Linked DNA regions of Canis lupus familiaris. The protein of the gene in region 1 interacts with the protein of each later gene in a biochemical or structural test. Links are inferred from orthologs where the notes say so. Each region holds a gene or a part of one and is shown in the gene's direction. Other genes may lie near its edges.

What was found.
Region 2: the proteins of NRIP1 (region 1) and CTBP1 form a complex in vitro, tested with the Homo sapiens proteins (2 studies listed by BioGRID and IntAct). The link is inferred for Canis lupus familiaris from reciprocal best matches to the Homo sapiens genes NRIP1 and CTBP1.
Region 3: the proteins of NRIP1 (region 1) and AHR form a complex in vitro, tested with the Homo sapiens proteins (2 studies listed by BioGRID). The link is inferred for Canis lupus familiaris from reciprocal best matches to the Homo sapiens genes NRIP1 and AHR.
Region 4: the proteins of NRIP1 (region 1) and NR5A1 form a complex in vitro, tested with the Homo sapiens proteins (2 studies listed by BioGRID). The link is inferred for Canis lupus familiaris from reciprocal best matches to the Homo sapiens genes NRIP1 and NR5A1.

What each region holds. Positions count from the first base shown.
Region 1 is NC_049252.1:12,286,850-12,290,674, reverse strand, and holds part of NRIP1 (nuclear receptor-interacting protein 1), read left to right. Parts: coding exon 1-2,667; 3' UTR 2,668-3,825. UniProt on the Homo sapiens protein: Modulates transcriptional activation by steroid receptors such as NR3C1, NR3C2 and ESR1. Also modulates transcriptional repression by nuclear hormone receptors.
Region 2 is NC_049224.1:91,984,090-91,988,608, forward strand, and holds the start of CTBP1 (C-terminal-binding protein 1), read left to right. Parts: upstream 1-1,253; 5' UTR 1,254-1,313; coding exon 1,314-1,353; intron 1,354-1,587; exon of another isoform or gene 1,588-1,649; intron 1,650-2,263; exon of another isoform or gene 2,264-2,385; intron 2,386-4,519. UniProt on the Homo sapiens protein: Corepressor targeting diverse transcription regulators such as GLIS2 or BCL6. Has dehydrogenase activity. Involved in controlling the equilibrium between tubular and stacked structures in the Golgi complex.
Region 3 is NC_049235.1:31,790,827-31,795,661, forward strand, and holds the start of AHR (aryl hydrocarbon receptor), read left to right. Parts: upstream 1-1,569; 5' UTR 1,570-1,661; coding exon 1,662-1,726; intron 1,727-4,835. UniProt on the Homo sapiens protein: Ligand-activated transcription factor that enables cells to adapt to changing conditions by sensing compounds from the environment, diet, microbiome and cellular metabolism, and which plays important roles in development, immunity and cancer.
Region 4 is NC_049230.1:58,543,665-58,548,434, forward strand, and holds the start of NR5A1 (steroidogenic factor 1), read left to right. Parts: upstream 1-1,504; 5' UTR 1,505-1,696; intron 1,697-3,274; 5' UTR 3,275-3,473; coding exon 3,474-3,488; intron 3,489-3,946; exon of another isoform or gene 3,947-3,989; intron 3,990-4,770. UniProt on the Homo sapiens protein: Transcriptional activator. Essential for sexual differentiation and formation of the primary steroidogenic tissues. Binds to the Ad4 site found in the promoter region of steroidogenic P450 genes such as CYP11A, CYP11B and CYP21B.

The sequences.
Region 1 (3,825 bases):
TATTCTCGAGAACACGCTTTAAAAACGCAAAATGCGAATCAGGCAGCAAGTGAAAGACTTGCCGCCATGGCCAGATTACAAGAAAATGGCCAGAAGGAGGTTGGCAGTTTCCAGCTCTCAAAAGGAATGTCAAGCCATCTCAATGGTCAGGCGAGAACATCATCGAGCAAGCTAATGGCGAGCAAAAATACAGCGTTTCAGAACCCGATGGGTGTTGTTCCTTCTTCCCCCAAAAATGCAGGCTATAAGAACTCACTGGAAAGAAACCATCTAAAACAAGCTGCTAATAATAGTTTGCTTTTACATCTTCTGAAGAGCCAGACCATACCAAAGCCGATGAATGGACATAATCACAGTGAGAGAGGAAGCATCTTTGAGGATAGTAGTACCCCTACAACCATCGATGAGTACTCGGATAACAACCCTAGTTTTACAGATGATAGCAGTGGTGACGAAAGTTCCTATTCCAACTGTGTTCCCATAGACTTGTCTTGCAAACATCGAATTGAGAAACCAGAACCTGACCAGCCTGTTTCTCTTGATAATTTAACCCAGTCCTTGCTAAACACTTGGGATCCCAAAGTCCCCACTGTAGACGTCAAAGAAGATCAAGATACCTCAAAGAATTCTAAGCTCAATTCGCACCAGAAAGTGACTCTTCTTCAGTTGCTACTTGGCCATAAGAATGAAGAAAGTGTAGAAAGAAACAGCAGCCCCCAGGAAGTACACGGCGATGTGACCAAGTTCGGTAGCCAGAACTTCGCGAGGACTTCCGTAATAGAGAGCCCCAGTACGAGCAGGACTACCCCCGTGAGCACTCCTCCTTTACTTTCCTCCACAAAAGCAGAGTCTCCCATCAACCTTTCCCAACACTCTCTGGTCATCAAGTGGAATCCCCCACCGTTCGCCTGCGGCTCCCAGGCTGAAAAGCCAGCGACCTCCGCGTCGAACCCCCTGATGGACCTTACAAAGAGCAAAGACCCGCTGGGAGAGAAGCCGGCCCACAGCGAGGGCGCACAGAACTCCGCGACCTTCAGTGCCAGCAAGCTGCTGCAGAACCTGGCTCAGTGCGGAGTGCAGGCGTCCGCCCCGGGAGAGGAGCAGCGGCCTAGCAAGCAGCTGCTGAGCGTGAACGCGGACCGGCCCCTGGGCATGGTGGAGAGGCTGAGTAGCCCTCTGCTCTCAAACAAAACCAACGCGGCGGAAGACAACAGGGCGTTCGGCAGTCCAGCGGCAGGCCCCGAGGCGGGACTTTCTGGCTCCGAGATCGAGAATCTGCTGGAGAGGCGCACTGTCCTCCAGCTGCTCCTGGGGAACCCCAACAAAGGGAAGGGCGACAAGAAAGACAAGACTCCTCTGAGAGATGAAAGTGCTCAGGAACACGCGGACAGGGCTTTAAGCGAACAGATACTGACGGTGAAAATAAAATCCGAGCCCTGCGATGACCCGCGCAGCCCCAGTCCGAGCGTGCGCCTGAGCCCCGACGCCAGGGGCGCCCCGTTCCCAGGGGCGGCGCCTCCCGCGCAGAGGAGCGCGCCCGACGGTCTCAAGGCGGAGCCCGTTTCACCGCAGGATTTCTCCTTCTCCAAGAACGGCCTGTTGAGTCGGCTGCTGAGGCAGAACCAGGAGAGTTACCTGGCGGAGGAGGGGGACGGCAGCCGCAGGAGCGGGGAGCTGGCGCTCCTGGAGGCCAGGACCCTCTGCGTGGTCCCCAAGAAGAGGAAGCTTTATAGCGAGCCCTTGGAAAACCCGTTTAAAAGGATGAGGAACAGCGTAGCTGACGCCGCCGACAGCCACGGCGCCCCGGAGGGGCTGTACGGGCCCCCGCTGAGCCAGCAGGAGCTGAAATGCAGCAGAAGTGATCTTGAGTTCAAATTCCCCGGCAGCCAGGGCCCCGCGGGCGACGCCGAGCACCGCGCGTGGGCCCGAGAGAGCAAGAGCTTCAACGTCCTCAAGCAGCTGCTCCTGTCGGAAAACTGCGTCCGGGATCTGTCCCAGCACAGGAGCGGCTCCGCCGGGGAGGGCAGGAGGAAGGGACACCGAGGCGCGGCGGGCGGCGGCAAGCCCGAGCTGAGCATTCCGGCCCTCGACGGGCTGCTGTACGGCCCCGCGCAGCCCGGCGGCTGCGGGGACAGCAGGACGGGCCCCGGCCCCCGCCCGGGCCCCGGCCCCGGCCCCCGCCCCCGCCCCTGCCCCTGCCCGGCGCGCGCCCCGCCCAGCCCCCCCTTCCCCGAGCCCGGGGGCTGCGCGGGCTCCAGGCCGGAGCCGGGGCCAGCGAACGGCTGTGCGGGCGGCGCCGGCGACAAGGGCCCCATTAAGTGGGTCATCGCCGACGCGGACAGGAACGGGTACGAGAGGGACTGCCCGCGGCTGACCAAAACCAACCCCATCCTCTACTACATGCTGCAGAAAGGGGGCGGCCCCGTCGCCGGCCGGGACACGCAGGACAAGGACGCGTGGGGGGAGCCCTCCTCCGCGGAGAGCGTCGCGCAGGTCACGGTCAAGGAAGAGTTCCTCCCCGCGGCGGAAACCAGGGCGGCCGGCTTCAGCCTGAGAGGCCCCTACAGCAGCCCCCCGGGGAGGAGCGCCCCTCGCCCGCACAGCGCGAACGGGGAGGGGTACGGACTGCTGGGAAACGTGCTGGCCATAAAGAAAGAAGCCGAGTGAAATGTACCCGCCATCCAGCTCCCGATCTTCTCTTTCCTTGTCTTTTCTTTTCTTTTCTTTTTTTTTTTTTTTTTTTTTTTTTTTTGCAAACTGCTTAGTATGAACTTGCGACCTGTATAAATAAGAGCATGATTTGAGAAAAGCATGGTATAACTGAAACTTTTTTCATTTCGAGAAGTATTGGTTGCTGGTGATGTCTAAATATGCACACTACTTTTTTGCTTTACGTTAGATGTCATGAGGAAACTACTGAACTAGCAAATTGGTTGTTTAACACTCTGTATGCACCAAACAACAACTGTGAGTAGCCTATGAATGAAAAATCTTTTATAATCCAGTAATAGGCGTAAATTAAAATGTAAATCTCCATCCATAGTGGATTAATGCATTTTGCTGCCTTTATTAGGGTACTTTATTTTGCTTTTCAGACGTCGGCCTACATAACACATTTGTTTTTAAATCCAAATTGTTCAATGACTCTTTAAATATTAATCGTTGAATTAAAAAAAAGAACCTAATTCACTTCTCATTATCCGATTCAGAAATAAATTAGAAAAAATAGGCTTACATTTTTCACTTTTGCTAAAAAAAAAAAAAAAAGAAGAAGAAGAAGAAGACGTATTTATTTTTAACTCTTGGAAGGGGTTTTGTGGTTCCCAATGTGTCTGCCCCACCCCAGTCCTTTTCAATATGTATTTCTTTAAACCTTGTACTACTTAGTAAAAATTGATTACAATTGATGGAAGTTTGATAGATCCTTAAAAAAAGGCAGATTTCCATTTTTGTATTTTAGCTACTTTACTAAATTAATATTCCTCCTTTTACAGAATTAGGAAAGTTAACCATTTACCTTCAGGTGGTTTCCTGAATAGTTGACTATTTAAGAAGTTGTTTTTAACAGAAGCAAAATGGCTTTTCTTTGGACAATTTTCACCATCTCTTGTAAAAGTTACTTCTCACCATTTCTGTGGTACCTGTGAGTCTTACGACCAGGGTTTCTTAAAAGCTGGACTCAGACCACCTGCATTAGAATCATCTGGAGCACTTGTTTTAAAATGCAGATTCCTAGGCAGCATCTCAGATCTACAGATCAAGAATCTCTGCTAAGTGGACCTGGGAATCTCCCAGCTGCATCTTAACACACTTCCTAGATGTTTC
Region 2 (4,519 bases), on another chromosome or scaffold:
GGTGGGCCTCAGGCCCTTTCCCGTCACCGGATCGTCTCACCCTTGGGGGCTGGCTAGCCCCCACCCTGGGGGAACCCTCATGACCCTCCCGCAGGTGCCTCTCTGGAACTATAGGCTGCTCACAGGGGGCACTGGGCACCCCGCTTCAGCCACGTCTGGCCACCTCCCAGGTACCCCTCGGCCCAGGAAGTCCCTGCTCAGGCTTCTGGATGCCGATTTCTGGCCTCTGTGCTCTCTGCAGGATCAGGAGGTTCTCCCTGGGGCCTGCCATCCAGGCTGCACCTCCTCCTGGGTCCCAGGAACCCAAGCATAAGGCCAAGTTTGCCCAGGGAAACTCCCAGGGATGCCTGCCTCGGCCTCCTGCAACCCTGTAGGGGCCCAGAGCCCGAAGGCCCGGCAGTGGCACACCTGCTGTGCTTCCTTGCAGTGACCCCGGAACATTTAAATGATCCCTGCCTAGGAGCGTGCTGAGGTGCGGGGGTAGGTGCGGTCACGCTCCACTGTCAGGATGCGGGTGGGGGCAGGTGCGGCCTGGCGAATGCGTGTGCATGGAAAGTGTGTAGATGGCTGTGGCTGTGCCGGTGTGAGGCAGGTACCTGTGTAGGACAGGTTGGGGGGGCGTGTACGCGTGCGCAGATGCAGGACAGGTGTACGCGCGGAGGTGGAACAGGTGGGGCCTGGTGAGTGCCAAGCAGGTGCACGTGTGTGTGTGTGTGTGTGTGTGTGTGTGTGTGTGTGTGTGCAGGGCAGATGGGGCCGGGTGGGTGCGGGGCAGGTGCATATGCGGGTGCAGGGCAGGTGCGTGTGGGTGGGCGCGGGGCAGGTGCGGGTGCGAGCAGGTGAGTGTGCGTGTGTGAGCGCGCCCGCGGGGCAGGTGGGGCCTGGTGGTTGCGGGGCAGGTGCGTGTGCGGGTGCAGGGCAGGTGGGGTCCGGGGGCTGCGGGGCAGGTGCGTGCGTGCGCGCGCGGGGGTGCGGGGCGGGACCTGTGCGGATGCAGGCAGGTGTGAGCAGGCGCGGCGGGCGGGAGGGCCGGGCGGGGCGGGCGGGCCCGGCCTGCAGCCGCCCGCGTGGTGCTGCGCGGCGCTCGCGCCTGGAAACAGGAGGCCGCCGGGCCGGAAGCCCCGCCCGCGCGCGCGCCGCCTGTCCCCGCCCGGTGGAGCGGCTGCTGGCGCGGCGCGGCGCGGCTCGGCACGGCGGCGCCCGGGCGCAGGCGAGCGGGCGGAGCAGCGGACGGCGCCCAGGCCGCCCCACGCGCCGGGCTCGCGGCGGAGCGCGCCGGACTCGTCGGGGCCCGCGGCCGCCCGCGCCTTTCAATGGGCAGCTCGCACTTGCTCAACAAGGGCCTGCCGCTCGGTAAGGCCGCGCGCGCGCATTTCCGGCCGCGGGGGCGGGGCGGCGGGCGGGGCGGGCGGGCGCGCGCGGGCCCCGGCTTTGTGTGCGAGTGCGCGTGCGCGCCGGCCTCCGCGCGCCGCCGGGGGCGGGGCCGGGGCGCCGTGCGCGTGCGCGAGCCGCAGCGTGCGAGTGCGCGTGCGCAGGCGCCGCCGTCACGCCCGCCCCGCCCGCTGCCGCCGCCGCCGCCGCCGCCGCCGCCTCCGCCTCCTCCTCCTCCTCCGCCGCCGCCGCCACCACCGCCGCCGCCGCCCGCGCAGGTGACACAAAGGGGCGCCGCGCTCGGCCCCCGACCCCCCAGGCCAGGCCCCGCCACAGCCGCGGCGCGCCCGGCGTCCGGCCCCGGCGGCCCCACGGCCCCCCCGCCGGCCCGGCCCCCTGCGTCCGGCCCGCGTGCGCCCTGCGTGGGGCCGGCCCGGCCTCCTGGTCGCGTGGGCTCGCCCCGCCCGGGCCCCGGGGCCTCGCCGCGCCCGCCCCCGGCGCCCCCGCCCCCGCGCCCGCTCGCCCGGGACGAGGACGGCCGCCGGCAGCCGCGCCACCTGCCCGCGCCACCTGCCCGCGCCCGAGCGCCGCCGGCCCCGGGGGTCCCGGCTCGGCCCTGCAGCCGCGCCGTCCCCGAGCCCGCGCCGCGGGAGCGCCTGCCCGGCCGCCCTCCTGCCTCCTGCCGGCCTCCCCTCGGCCTCCGCGGGCGCCGTGACGGGCCCACCTGCAGGGAGGAAGCCGGGGCCGACGCGGCGGTGGCTGCGCGGGCCCGGACGAGCGGCCAAGGACCGGCCCTCACGGGCGCCCGCCTGGGCAGCGGGACGGTCGGGCGGCAGGCGGGGGGCGTCCGCGCCGCGCGTTCCCGGGACCGCCCCAGCCGCCGGGCAGCGGTTCCGTCGGGGCAGGATCACGCAGAAGAGCTCGGCAGCAGCTGGGCCCCAGCAGGGCGCACCCCGCGGGCGGTGCGGGCGCCCCGGCTGCGGGGACCCGGCGTCGCGGCTCTGCGTGCCCGAGGTGAGGATGCCGCGTGAGGACGAGGGCCCCCGCGGCCGCCGGCGCTGCCCCTGGCTCGCGGGCACTCGGCCTTCCCCGCGGCCCGGGAGCTCAGGGTGAGCCGCAGTGCCGGGCCCGCGCCCGCCCGCCCGCGGTCTGCCCCCTCCTGCGGCTCCCAGCGCTGCCTGCCGGGCGCTCTGCCCCGTTGCCTTTCTGGGTTTCTTTTCGCCGCGGTGTTTGTGGTCACCGGCTTTGAGCACGTGCTTCCATGTGGGCCTCCGCGAGGCCTTGGGGGGACGCGCTCGGGGTTAGTCTGTGTCTGCCGCGCGCAGGCGTGTACCCTTCAGCCTCCGTGGGGCTGTTTGTGCAGTTCCAGCCTGTCCCACCCGGACGGCTTGCTCTTCCCTCTGCGTTTCTGAGAAATGGACTCGTGGCTGGGGTGACCTGTCTCAGCCCTTGAGCCTCTCTCCTGGCTGCATTTGGGGTTTCCCTTTCGGTCCCTTCAGCTTGAGGACACGCGGGCGGGGGTGCTGGGGGCACAGCAGGCTGCGACCCCGAGCTCTGGGAGGCTGCAGCAGCCCCTTCTGTGGTTAGTACCCGAGGTTGGGCCATCGGGTGAGCTGTCAGAGGTTGGCCGGTGGAACCCTAGTGCGGGGGAGGCACCTCTGCCGGAGAAGGGCCCTTGGGCTTCAGAGGTGGCCTGGCCTTGGCTCCCCAGCGGCCCGGTGGAAGGGGCCAGCAGGTCATGAGCAGAGAGCTGGGCCGTGATGGGGCTTTCTCTGCCACGATCTCGCCTGCCCCTGGAGCGCCCTATGCCAGTGTCCTTGGGGCCTTGCCCAGTCTGAGTAGCTGGAGTGCAGCTTGCTGCTGGCCGCCCGCGGCTCCTGGGCGCAGAGGACCCAGTCGAAGGCTTGTGCAGGCTTTTTATCCTGTGACAACAGCCTCCTCAAAGACTCCTGGCTCCTGAGACCAGGGGCACGAAGGAGGACCCATGGCAGGCTCGGGGGGCAGTCCACAATACACCTGCCTCGGGTTCCCAGAGGGGACTCCAGGAGCTCACTGCGGATCAGCCACGGGCTGCACGCTGGCCTGGGGCCCTCGCCTGTCTGCCCAGACGAGCTGCAGGACACCTGGCGGGGCAGGGTGGGGGGGCATTTTCCACCCAACCACAGAGCTCACAGGCGCTCTTAGTGCTGAGTTGTTTCTGCCTGTGTCACCCTCAGGGTGGGGGTCCCTCACATCCCTGCCAGCCCTGCAGCCTGGCCATAGACAGGCTGGGAGGACGGTGGGCACCTGGCAGGACTGGAACCTGGGACCTTGGAGAAGAAATCCCAGGGGGTCAGCGGGTGGGGCGGGGGCTGCTTTCTGGACCCTCCCCAGGCTTGGACTCTGGCCTGTCAGGAGGCAGGCTCGGTGCCCACAGCAGCTTCGTCCGGCCGCCAGTCCTTGAGTCTGATGTGCGAGGCCTGCCCTAGAGGACGTGTCCCCATATGGGGTCGCCCTGCAGCAGCTGCTGAACGTCGCGTGCGGGAGGGCAGGGAGGTGACATTCCTTGGGTCCCCAACCAGTGTTCTCTGCACGAGGACAGGGTTCTTGTTTGTGGGATCCTGGAGCATCACAGAGCGAGCAGGACACGTGTCAGGGCGCGAGAGAGGACTGTGTGGGAGGCAGAGTCTCGGTGACGAGAACGTGCCTTTGCAGCACATGTGGGGGAGCGGGCGCCTGTTTGGTTTACAATGAGTTGGGGGACCACACGGTGTGGTGCGTGGGTCTGTCCTGCTGGAGTCAGTGTGGCCGCTGGCCTCGGGGTGCCTGGCACTCACGCAGACCCTGCCCCCTGGAGGCCTCCAGACCACGGGCAGCCGGCAGCCGAGGGGAGCCTCACTGCCACCAGCTGGCTGTGCTGGGCCCGAGTGGGGAAGGGCTGCTTAAGTACAGCGGGGGGGCGGGAGGGAGCCTCTTCTGGGGAGGTGGTGGTCAGGGCTGGATATGCACAGCCTGCTGGGGCAGGGGACGTTGGGGTCTGACGGGCTCCGGGCCTAGTTTCTGAAGCCCTGGTGTGTTGGGGAGGGCTGCGGTGTCCTGGGAGGGGTCCCGGGCAGGCGGGAGGTGGCCTAGCGTGTGCGCCTGGAGAGGCAGCAGGGAGCACTCACAG
Region 3 (4,835 bases), on another chromosome or scaffold:
TTCAACAACTCTCTAATACTCCCCCTGCATGCAGGCTTGCCCTCCTGTAATCCAGTTTGCACTTTCCTCCCAGAGTGACTTTTCTGAGAACCGCAATGGCACTTTTCCTGCTGAATATCTTTTAAAGGCTTCCACTGCGGCAGCCCCGGTGGCGCAGCGGTTTAGCGCCGCCTGCGGCCCAGGGCATGATCCTGGAGTCCTGGGATCGAGTCCCACATCGGGCTCCCTGCATGGAGCCTGCTTCTCCCTCTGCCTATGTCTCTGCCTCTCTCTCTCTCTCTGCATCTCTATGAATAAATAAAGACTTAAAAAATATATTTTTTTAAAAAAAAGGCTTCCACTGACTACAGGATAAACTCTAGACTCTTCATCAAGGCTCTGTGATCTGATTCTAGAATTCCTGAACTTCACTTTCAGCTCCTCTCTCCAATCCTAACAGATTTATTATCTCCAAATGCTCCGTGATTTCCTTCTTCCTTGCTCCCTTTCCATCCCATGGACTATAAAATAACCAAGTTATTCTGACGATAAAATAACCAAGTTATTCTGGCTGGGGAAAAAGATATTGTATTGTCTAGCGTGGAGACAAAAAAAAAAAAAAAAAGGCCAAGCAAACTCTTAGGCTTCAAGTTCAACTCATACGGAGCCTCCGGAACGAAGCCTTCCCCTCTAGGAAAATATGCAGAGTCCCACTGGTTATCGGCCAGCTCGCTGTAATTCTTAGTCAAAGTTCGCTGAGTCACCCTCACAGAGGTGAAGTTACGCTCAGTACTTGGCAAGTCTGTCCTTGAGCTACTCTAGCTACAGAGTTCGGCTCCTACGTAATCAGTTGTCACACCTCTTTTCTGGACTGGAAAGGTTTCCACAGAATCCTCCCCTTGACCTCAAGAAGATGGCTACGGGGGTGGTGGTGGGGGGGGCGTCGTTGCGCCTTACGTCACCACGTACAAGGAGGGTGGGGCCCTCGAGGGACTGGGGTGGAGGGGCGGGGCCAAGCGGGACAGGGCGGGGCTACGGCAAGCTGGGCGGAGCCGGAGACGGGTCGGGGGCGCTGCTGCCGTGGAGCCGGTGTGCGCCGCGGCGAGAGGTAGCGCGGGGAGAGTCCGCTCGACGCCCGGTCCCGAGAACGTGGCCGGGACCACTGGCTCAGAGCGGGGGCAGCCGCGTAGCCGAGCGGAAGCTTGTGGCCCCGGACCGCGGCCGGAGTCCGCGTTCCGCAGGCGGGAAGCACCGGGATAGGGACAGGGGAAGCCCCAGGAGCAGCGCGGCGGCGCCTCCCTTCCCCAGGGGGCCGCGGCGACGGTCGCGGGGCGCGGCGCCGCAGCTCGCGACCCGGGCCAGGATTCCAAGCAGGCGGCCCAGGCTCCTCCCCCGGCCGGGCCGCCTCACCTGCGGACAGCGCCGCGCCGCCTCCGCCTCCGCCGATGTAGAAGGCACCTGCGCCTCTGGGCCCGCGGGTCTCCGCCCCTCGCCCCTCGCCCCTCGGCAGCGGACCCGCGCAGCGCACCTGGACGCGCGGGGCTTCCGGGGCCCGGCGCCTTCGCCACCGCCCGGGGGGACGCAGGTGGAGCGGGCGGCACTGCGTGGAGCCCGGCGCCGGCCGCGGCAGGCGCCCCGGTTCCTGCCCGCTCCCGCGGAGGAGCCGCCGCCCGCCGGGCACCATGAACAGCAGCGGCGCCCACATCACCTACGCCAGCCGCAAGCGGCGGAAGCCGGTGCAGAAAACGTGAGTGTCCGGCGCGCGTCCCCGGCCCGGGTGCGGGAGGCGGCCCCACCCCGCCCCCGATCTTCGCCGTCCAGAGCTCAGGCTCGTCCCCGACGCCGTCTCTGGAACCGAGACTTGGAGGCGGGTGGAGACACCCAGGCCTTTGGTTTTTCCGTTTTTAATCATTGCATTTTAAAAATTGCGCCCCCCACCCGCAATCCGTGGCGCGCGCACACCCTCTCGCACCCCCACCCATCTGCACCTCTGTTCTGTGTTTTTTTTTTTTTTTTTTTCTCTTTTTTTTTTCTGCTCCTAATTTGTTGACAGGTCTAGCCTGCCCTGTGGGGCTCGTGGATTAGTTAACATAAAACCGCCTTGAAATCCCCTTCCCCTTTTAATATCCTCATGGGTTAGGTTAAAGGACGGTTATTATCCTCATTCCTGGTAGGGCCAGATGTTTTAAAGAGCTGAACACGTGCCGTCTGCAAGAAAGGCTCTCAGTTCCTGTGAAGGTACTTTTTGGTCCTTGCAACCGGCTTTTTGGTGCGCTCTTATTTACTTATTTGGCAGTAATTTTGTAGCGCTCAACGTGATCATATCCGTAAAACACATAGAGGTGGTAGCAGAGACGAGTGAATGTCGTGGACAGGAGACAACGGAGGATTTGCATGTTCAGCCACCCCGTTGGGGGGAACTTTCTTACACTTTTGAGACGGTTTTAGGGTCTGGAAATTGAAAGATTTAGAGGTGGAATTATTGAAACAGACGTTTGCATTCTTAGTATCTTTCTCTAATTACCTCCCCCCCCCCCCCTTCAAAGTTTCATCAGTTCTAATAGTGATTAGAAACTTAGGTATTTTGTTTTGGTGAGGTATTTATTTGTGTGAGATGGTAAATAAAATAATGTTTCAAGAAAAAAAAATCTGTGCTTGACACAGATTGACTGCTGCGTGTTGGCTGTATTCATGTGTTTATTACTAATGATGATGTTTGAGTTACTTGACGTTTTTCAAATTTTCATAAACCATTTTAAGAACACAAACGTTTACTCAACGCAAGTCAGAAGTGTGCATTTTGCTTAAGACTTTAATTTAGGTCATTAATGCAGGTCAGAAAAATAAGTTTAAAATTTGTGTTTGGAGCCAGTAACTGGATTTTTCGTTATTTTCGTTATGTTTCATTATTCTGGAGTTTTAATTTCCTTTTAGAATTTCCGTTATTATAGTTCTTCGGATTTAGACTTGGCATTAACAGAGAATGTTAACCTCTAAATACACTGATTAAAATTTGGAAGTCTTATCCTGCAGTGTGGCTGACATTAGGCATAATGCCTAGTCAGCAGTTTTCTGTCTTGGCAGTTCTGTGATACATATTTTGTAGAGTGGCATCTTATATAAAAATGTATTTGCCTAACTTACCCTCATCCTTATTTAAAATTGAGAGGCATCCCAAATGCCTCTTCATGTATTTATTAATATCCTAATACACCTAATATAATATAAAATAGAGATATCATGGGTTTTATCTGTATGGTTAGAAAACTTGAACATATCCCTGATGAATTTTTAGGTTTTAGTCATTGTTGTAAGAAAGGCTGATTTAAAAAACAAAATCAAAAGCCTTAATACTGTATTCATTATAAAGTGTAGCAACTTTGGTTCTAATTAACATTTTATTAAAGATCTTCCCTTTAAACGTATTTTTTTTAATGTAAGATGTACCTTTCATTATTTCATCTTAGTGTTTTAATATACTTCTAAAACTTTTTAATATACTTGTATTTAATAATCTCATAATACAGTATAATTAAAGCATTTTCCACTTTCACCTTAGTCTTTGTTGAGCACCATGCCTTACTGCTAGTCATATAAATACCTTAAAATGTCACTACATTGCTCCCTAAGAAAAGCCTAGTACTGGCATTCACATACAGAATCATATAAAATCGATTATAAGTTATTTTTGCCTGAATGAAAAAAATGGTTTACTTTATAATGCAGTTAATCAAAGTTCATTTTAGGAATGTGGCTGTTAAACCCAATGTTAAATTTAAGTTGAATTTTTGGTTACTATTTCTTAGCTAATGAGGTCTAAAATATGACAGTGTTGTCAGAAAAATACATCTAGTCTGAGCTGAAAATGCTATTGAGATCTATTTAACTTTGATCCCTTAAGTGAGAGTCATTTTATTTTAAAGAAAAAATATGTTGTAATTATAGGATTGTTACTAAGACAGTCATTTTAATACACAATTCCACAGCATCTTGGAACCAAGTAGGTGATAACTTTAACCTGAAGCTCTTCCAGTCCATCTTCAATTGAATTTATTACACTCCCCCTAGTGGCAAGTCTAACATTGAAAATTACCTAATTGGTAGGATATACAACTTTAATGTGTTAAATTTAATCCCACTAAAGTATCTTGTACATAGTAGATGCTCAGTAAATGTTTCATTTATTTTTGGAGTAATTAGGATAGGAAATATAAAGATCCAAAACAACCTTGCACCAGACCTATGTTCCTAAAGGAGTTTTCAAAAGATACACTTAACAGTGGATTCTTTTGTAACTTTCCTTAAGGCGTTGCTCTATATGTAATAACCCTGCTTGGAAGACAAACAATTTTTTTTTTTTTGCTTACATTCTGTTTCTGTTTTCTTTGGAGATGAAAGTATTTTTCTTCATTTGCTTTGTTTTCTTATGAAGATAGGTGAGAAGCACACTATTGAATTAAACAATCTTTTTTTTTTTTCCTAGTGATAACTTTGTATATATTTTTATAGTTTTTAAAGTTTTATTACTACAGGGAAAATTTTATTGCTACTTCAATTTACTGTATTTCTAGAAAATAATTACTGATTGTTGGTAAATAATAGGTGTTGAATAAATGATATCTACACTTAAAAATGATTATCACCATAGTGATGGTCAAGATAGCCATCATGAAATGTCAGAACCAGTAATAACTTCTCAGTTTTAGATGATCCTGTTTCCTTTGTTAACATAGTAATATTGTTAACGAATATAAAAGCGGGCAGCCCAGGTGGCTTAGTGGTTTAGCGCCGCCTTCAGCCCGGAGGTGTGATCCTGGAGACTCGGGATCGAGTCCCACCTCAGGTTCCCTGCATGG
Region 4 (4,770 bases), on another chromosome or scaffold:
GCCTGGGTGGCTCAGTCAGTTGAGTCACCAACTCTTGGTTTCGGCTCAGGTCATGATCTCAAGGGTCGTGAGATGGAGCCCCGGCGTGGGGCTCCACGCTCAGTGTGGGGGTCTGTGTCTCTCCTTCTCCCTCTGCTCCTCCCCCTGTGCTCTCTCTCTTTCTTGACTCTCTCTAAAATAATCTTTTATTTTTTTTGAGATTTTTTTGACTTATTTGACAGAGAGAGCACAAGCAGCTGGAGTGGCAGGCAGAGGGAGGAGAGGGAGAAGCAGACTCCCTGCTGAGCAGGGAGCTCCATCCCAGGACCTCGGGATCATGACCTGAGTCGAAGGCAGAAGCTTCTCTGACTGAGCCACCCAGGTGCCCCTGAAATAAATAAATCTTTTTTTAAAATGTGTTAAGTGGCACAAGAGAAAGATACACTGGGTTTTAGATATAGTTGACTTCAGTTATCCAGAAAATCCCTCCCCCCAAGCCAGGTAAGTGAGGTGTCATACGATGGGCCTGCTTCCTCAAATGGAGGGGTGTGGTGCGGGCTCTCAACACTGATTGCCCCATGGCCCTCAGTGCCTATTGCCAACCCCCAGGACCAATGCCTATGAGGTAAATTGTCCAAGGATAGAGACTTCTTCCCTTTTCCCCAATGCCTGGACCAGTGCCTGGCATCTAGTGTGCACTAAGTAAATGTGAGATGAGTGAAGGAATGCACAAAGAATGATGTCCTTCCGTCATGTAACAGAGGGGTGCAGGGCAGAGCAATCTGGGCAAAGTCCCTTGCCCTCTGCCCTGCCCTATCCTGGCCTAGCTACCCATTTGGCCCCACCTGCAACCACTATAGGCAGCCACCTGGCCCTGGAGGCAGCCTCAGCCCAGCTTCCACTTTCCCAGCCATCCACTGGGAATATCAGCAGCCCCCAGCAGATGGTGACATTCAGAGCAGCCAATGTGAATGCACTCGGGAGGTATTCAGTCAGCTCACCTGCTTGCCTTCCATTCCCTTCTTTCTCTCATCACCTTCTGGAAGAGTAAAAAAGATCAAGCCAAAGCAGAGGAGCCACCTGATCAAGTCATCCATGCCCCTGCCTCCATTCCAGCCCGACCTAACTCCACTCCCATGTCTGGGCCAGGCTGGACCCCGCCAGGCCAGACTCAGGGAGGTAGCCATCCAAGGGGAGAGAGGCCAGGCTGCAGGCCTGGTGGGGGAGCTGCCCATAAATCAGGCCCCACTCCCACCCAGTCACTAACAAGCGGGGCTGCCTAACCGCCTACATGGGGTCCCTGCCTCTGGGCTCCCACAGCGGCCTGGAACAGCCAGCTGGCCAAGGCCTCCAGAGTGCCTTGGCCTCCACCCCCACCGAGGCCCCCAGATAGATAGGGGTATTTTTTTTTTTCTTTTAGGAGAAGAAAAAAATAGACCTAAATGAAGAGAAACACCAACAAAGAAGGAGAGAGGCCCGCAGAGTCACGTGGGGGCAGAGACCAATTGGGCCTCCGGTGGCCGCCCCCCCCAGGGCGGGGAGGAGGAGGACGGCCGGACAGGGCCAGCCTACTGTCCGCCTGCCGCCCGCCGTGGCGTGAAGGAGCTCCTGTGTGCCCACGGTCACCACTGCCCCACCTGGGCTGCCGGAGCTTTCCCCCGGATCCCTGGTGCCCACTGTCCACCCTCATCCGGCGTGAGAGCTCTCCTTCCGCTCCGTAAGTGAGGGCCTGGGCCCAGGCCTCTAATGGCCAGCCTCCCTCCTCAGTGCCTCCCTGCGGCCTGGGCCGGCCGCTGCCCGCTCTGAGTGACTAGTGCCCGCTGCTCTGGGCAGGGAAGGGGCCAGCGATTGCCCCCGACCTACCCTCTCATCATGCTACCCCCTCTTCCCTGGACAGCTGACTGGGAGGAGCTAGGCCTCTGGGGACAGGCCCCATGGGCTCTGCGGTGTCCTGCTGTCTAGGGGCGGCCAAGTGTTCGCAGCACTGTGTTGGCCCGAGCCTGGCAGTCTGTGAATGTGTCCATGGTCCCTGGGCCTGTCTTTGGGGCCTCTCAGGCTCCCCGCCTGTGTGTCTGTGTTGCCTCCTCGGATTTGTATGGATTTGTATGGGTTTGTGTGTCTGTCCCTGATGTCCTTCTGTCAGTCCTCATTCTGTGGCTGGTGCAGATCGATGTTTGCTTCCCTGGGCATGTGGGTGGGGGTGGGTGCAATGGAGCCTGGGTCAGCCTCAGAGCACCCAACCTGGGATAGTGTAGCCTCTGGAGAAGGAGGGGGTAAGATGGAAGTGGGGGGGGGGATCCGGCTCCGAGCCCAGCCCCCTAGACCACCTGGAGTCCCAGCCACACTCCTGCTTACATCGCCTGAGTCTTCCTGTACCATGTCTGGTACACTCCAGCCCTCCTCCTCCAGCCCCTTCACTCCCCTACAGAGGTGGTGCTGCTCCCGTTTCCCACCTTCTGCGGGCCCCTCCCAGATGGAGAGCTGTTCACAAGCAGCACTAGCCCCCCACCTCCAGCTCCTGCAAAGGCTAGTGTTTCTGAGGGCTCGGATGTCGGGAGTCCTCCGCTAAGCTGGACTCGGCTCTCTCCTTTCTCACCAAAATTCGTCCACAGCATCTCACGGAAACTGCAGACTCCCCTCGGTAGGGCTGAACTTTTCCATTTTACGTGCAGACCAACTGAGGCACAGAGAAGGGATGCCACTGGCCCGCCTGCGCAGCGAGCCGGCTGCCTATTCCATCCTTTGTTCCGCCGGGTGTGAGACAGCAGGGGGGTCTGCGGGGTCTCCAGCCTCGGCAGGCGGGAGCGAGGTGCCAACCCAGGCCGCTGGCGGGGGAGGCTCCGGCTGGGGGAGGCTCGGGTCGGGGCCCAGGCCAGGTCCGGAGCCTTCAGATCCGTAGCGGTAGCGGCGCTGCGGGTGCCTAACCGCGGGCCCCACCCCCACCCCCACCCGGCCCCACCCCGCCCCGCCCCGCCCCGCCCCACCCCACGGTGAGGACCCTGCCTTTCTGGCCCCGCGGGTCTCAGTACCGTTCTTCGCGGAGGGGCGGGGGCAAGGCGAGAGCGGGCCCCTTTCTCTCGTCTCAATTTTTTCACCTGAAAAGTGAGAGTGACCAGGTCCAGTCTCCCCCCCGCCCCCCCAGAGCAATTGCTGGGCCTGTCCCAGCCAGGGGTCCCCTTTGTCCCGGGGATGCCGGACTCTCCCTCCCCCTCCCCCAGCCCGGGTAAGGGCTCAGCACGTGATGGGGGGAGGGGTTCCTCTGGTCTCCCGGCTCCCGCGCCCTTGATGGCTTCAGGTCCTCGCCCAACCTCGGAGGATCCCCATTTCCGGCCAAGCAAACTGAGGCCTGCGGTGGAGGAAGGGTCCGGCCCAGGTCTCCCCGCTGGGTGCTGCTGGTCGCTCTCGCAGCGCTGAGGCACGCGCTTCGCCGGCGCCACGTCGGTTCCTCCGGTGCCCGTTCCCGGGGAGGCCCATTCATCATCACCACTTCGCAGATGAGCAGACTGAGGGTCAGTGTGTGCGTGCGCGCGTGTGCGCGTGTGTGCATGTGTGTGTGCGGCGTGTGCGCGCGTGTACATTTGCTTGAGTCTCCCGTGAGGAGACGCGGCAGGGCCAGTGGCTCACCTGGCTCCTGGCCTCGACCCCGTGCCTCGGCCACGGACCCCCACGTCCGCCCTCGCCCGCTTCCGCGCGGCACAACGACCAGCGCCCCCGGCGCGGCCCCTGCCACCGCGGGGCTGGACCAGCAGGCGGAGGCTCGAGGCTCCCGGGCGCCCGGCTCCCGCCCGGGCTCCGAGGCGCTCGGGCTGGGCGCGGGGGGCCGCGAGGGCGGCGGCGGAGGCGCTCGGCGGGCTCGGGGGCGGGCGCGGGCGCGGGCGCGGGCGTGGTTGCGGGCGTGGGCCGGCCTCCGCCCCCGGACACCGCACGCGCTGATATAGGGGGGCCGGCTCCTGGCCCCTGCGAGGCGGGTCCGCGCAGCGCGCGTCGGCGGCGGAGGGCCCGGGCCCCAGGTGCGCCTCGCTGCGGCCCCGGAGGCGGCGGGGGGGGCCGGGGGCCGGGGGCCGGGGGGGGCTGCGGGCCCCGCGCCCCCGCCTCCCCGCCCCGGGCCCGGTCGGCCGTCATCGCGGGCAGGCGGCGCTGCGCCCGGGTGCGGCTCAGCGGCGGCGGCGCGGGGGGCGCGGGGCTCGGGCGGGCGGGACGCGGCAGGTGGGCGCCGGGAGGGCCGCGGCCGCCGTCGCCGTCGCCGCGGCCGTCGCGCCCCTTCTGGCCTCCGGGGTTCCGGGGCCCCGGCTCCGCGCGCCTCCCCGCCCGGGGCCTGCGCTCCCCGCCCGAGGTCGGCCCCGCGGGGACCCGCCCGAGCTCTCCGCGGCCGCACCGCGCGCGCCTCGGCCCGACGCCGGGGGTCGGTGGCTCCGGCTGCGCCTCTCGGTGCCGTCGCTGCGGCGGCCTTTGTCTCCGGCGCGGGGCCCCGGCGGGTCGGAGCGTGCGGCCCGGTCCGGCTGCTCCCCGCCCGCAGGTCCGCCTCCCGGTCGTCCGTCTGTCTGTCTCCCGGCCGCCGCCGTCCCGGGCTCCCCCGAGCACGGCGTCCGCCCGCGTCCGCCCCGGGCTCCCGTGGTCTCCGCCGCCCGGGACCCGCCCCGCGCCCCGCGTCCTCGGCGCCTCCCGCTGCCGCCCGCCGCGCCTCCCCGTGCGCCCCGCGCGACCCCCGACGCGAGGGCCCCGCTCCGGCCCCTCCGCCCGCTCCGCCCGCTCCGCCGCCAGCTCCCCGCCGCCGAGCCGTTTTCTCAGAAT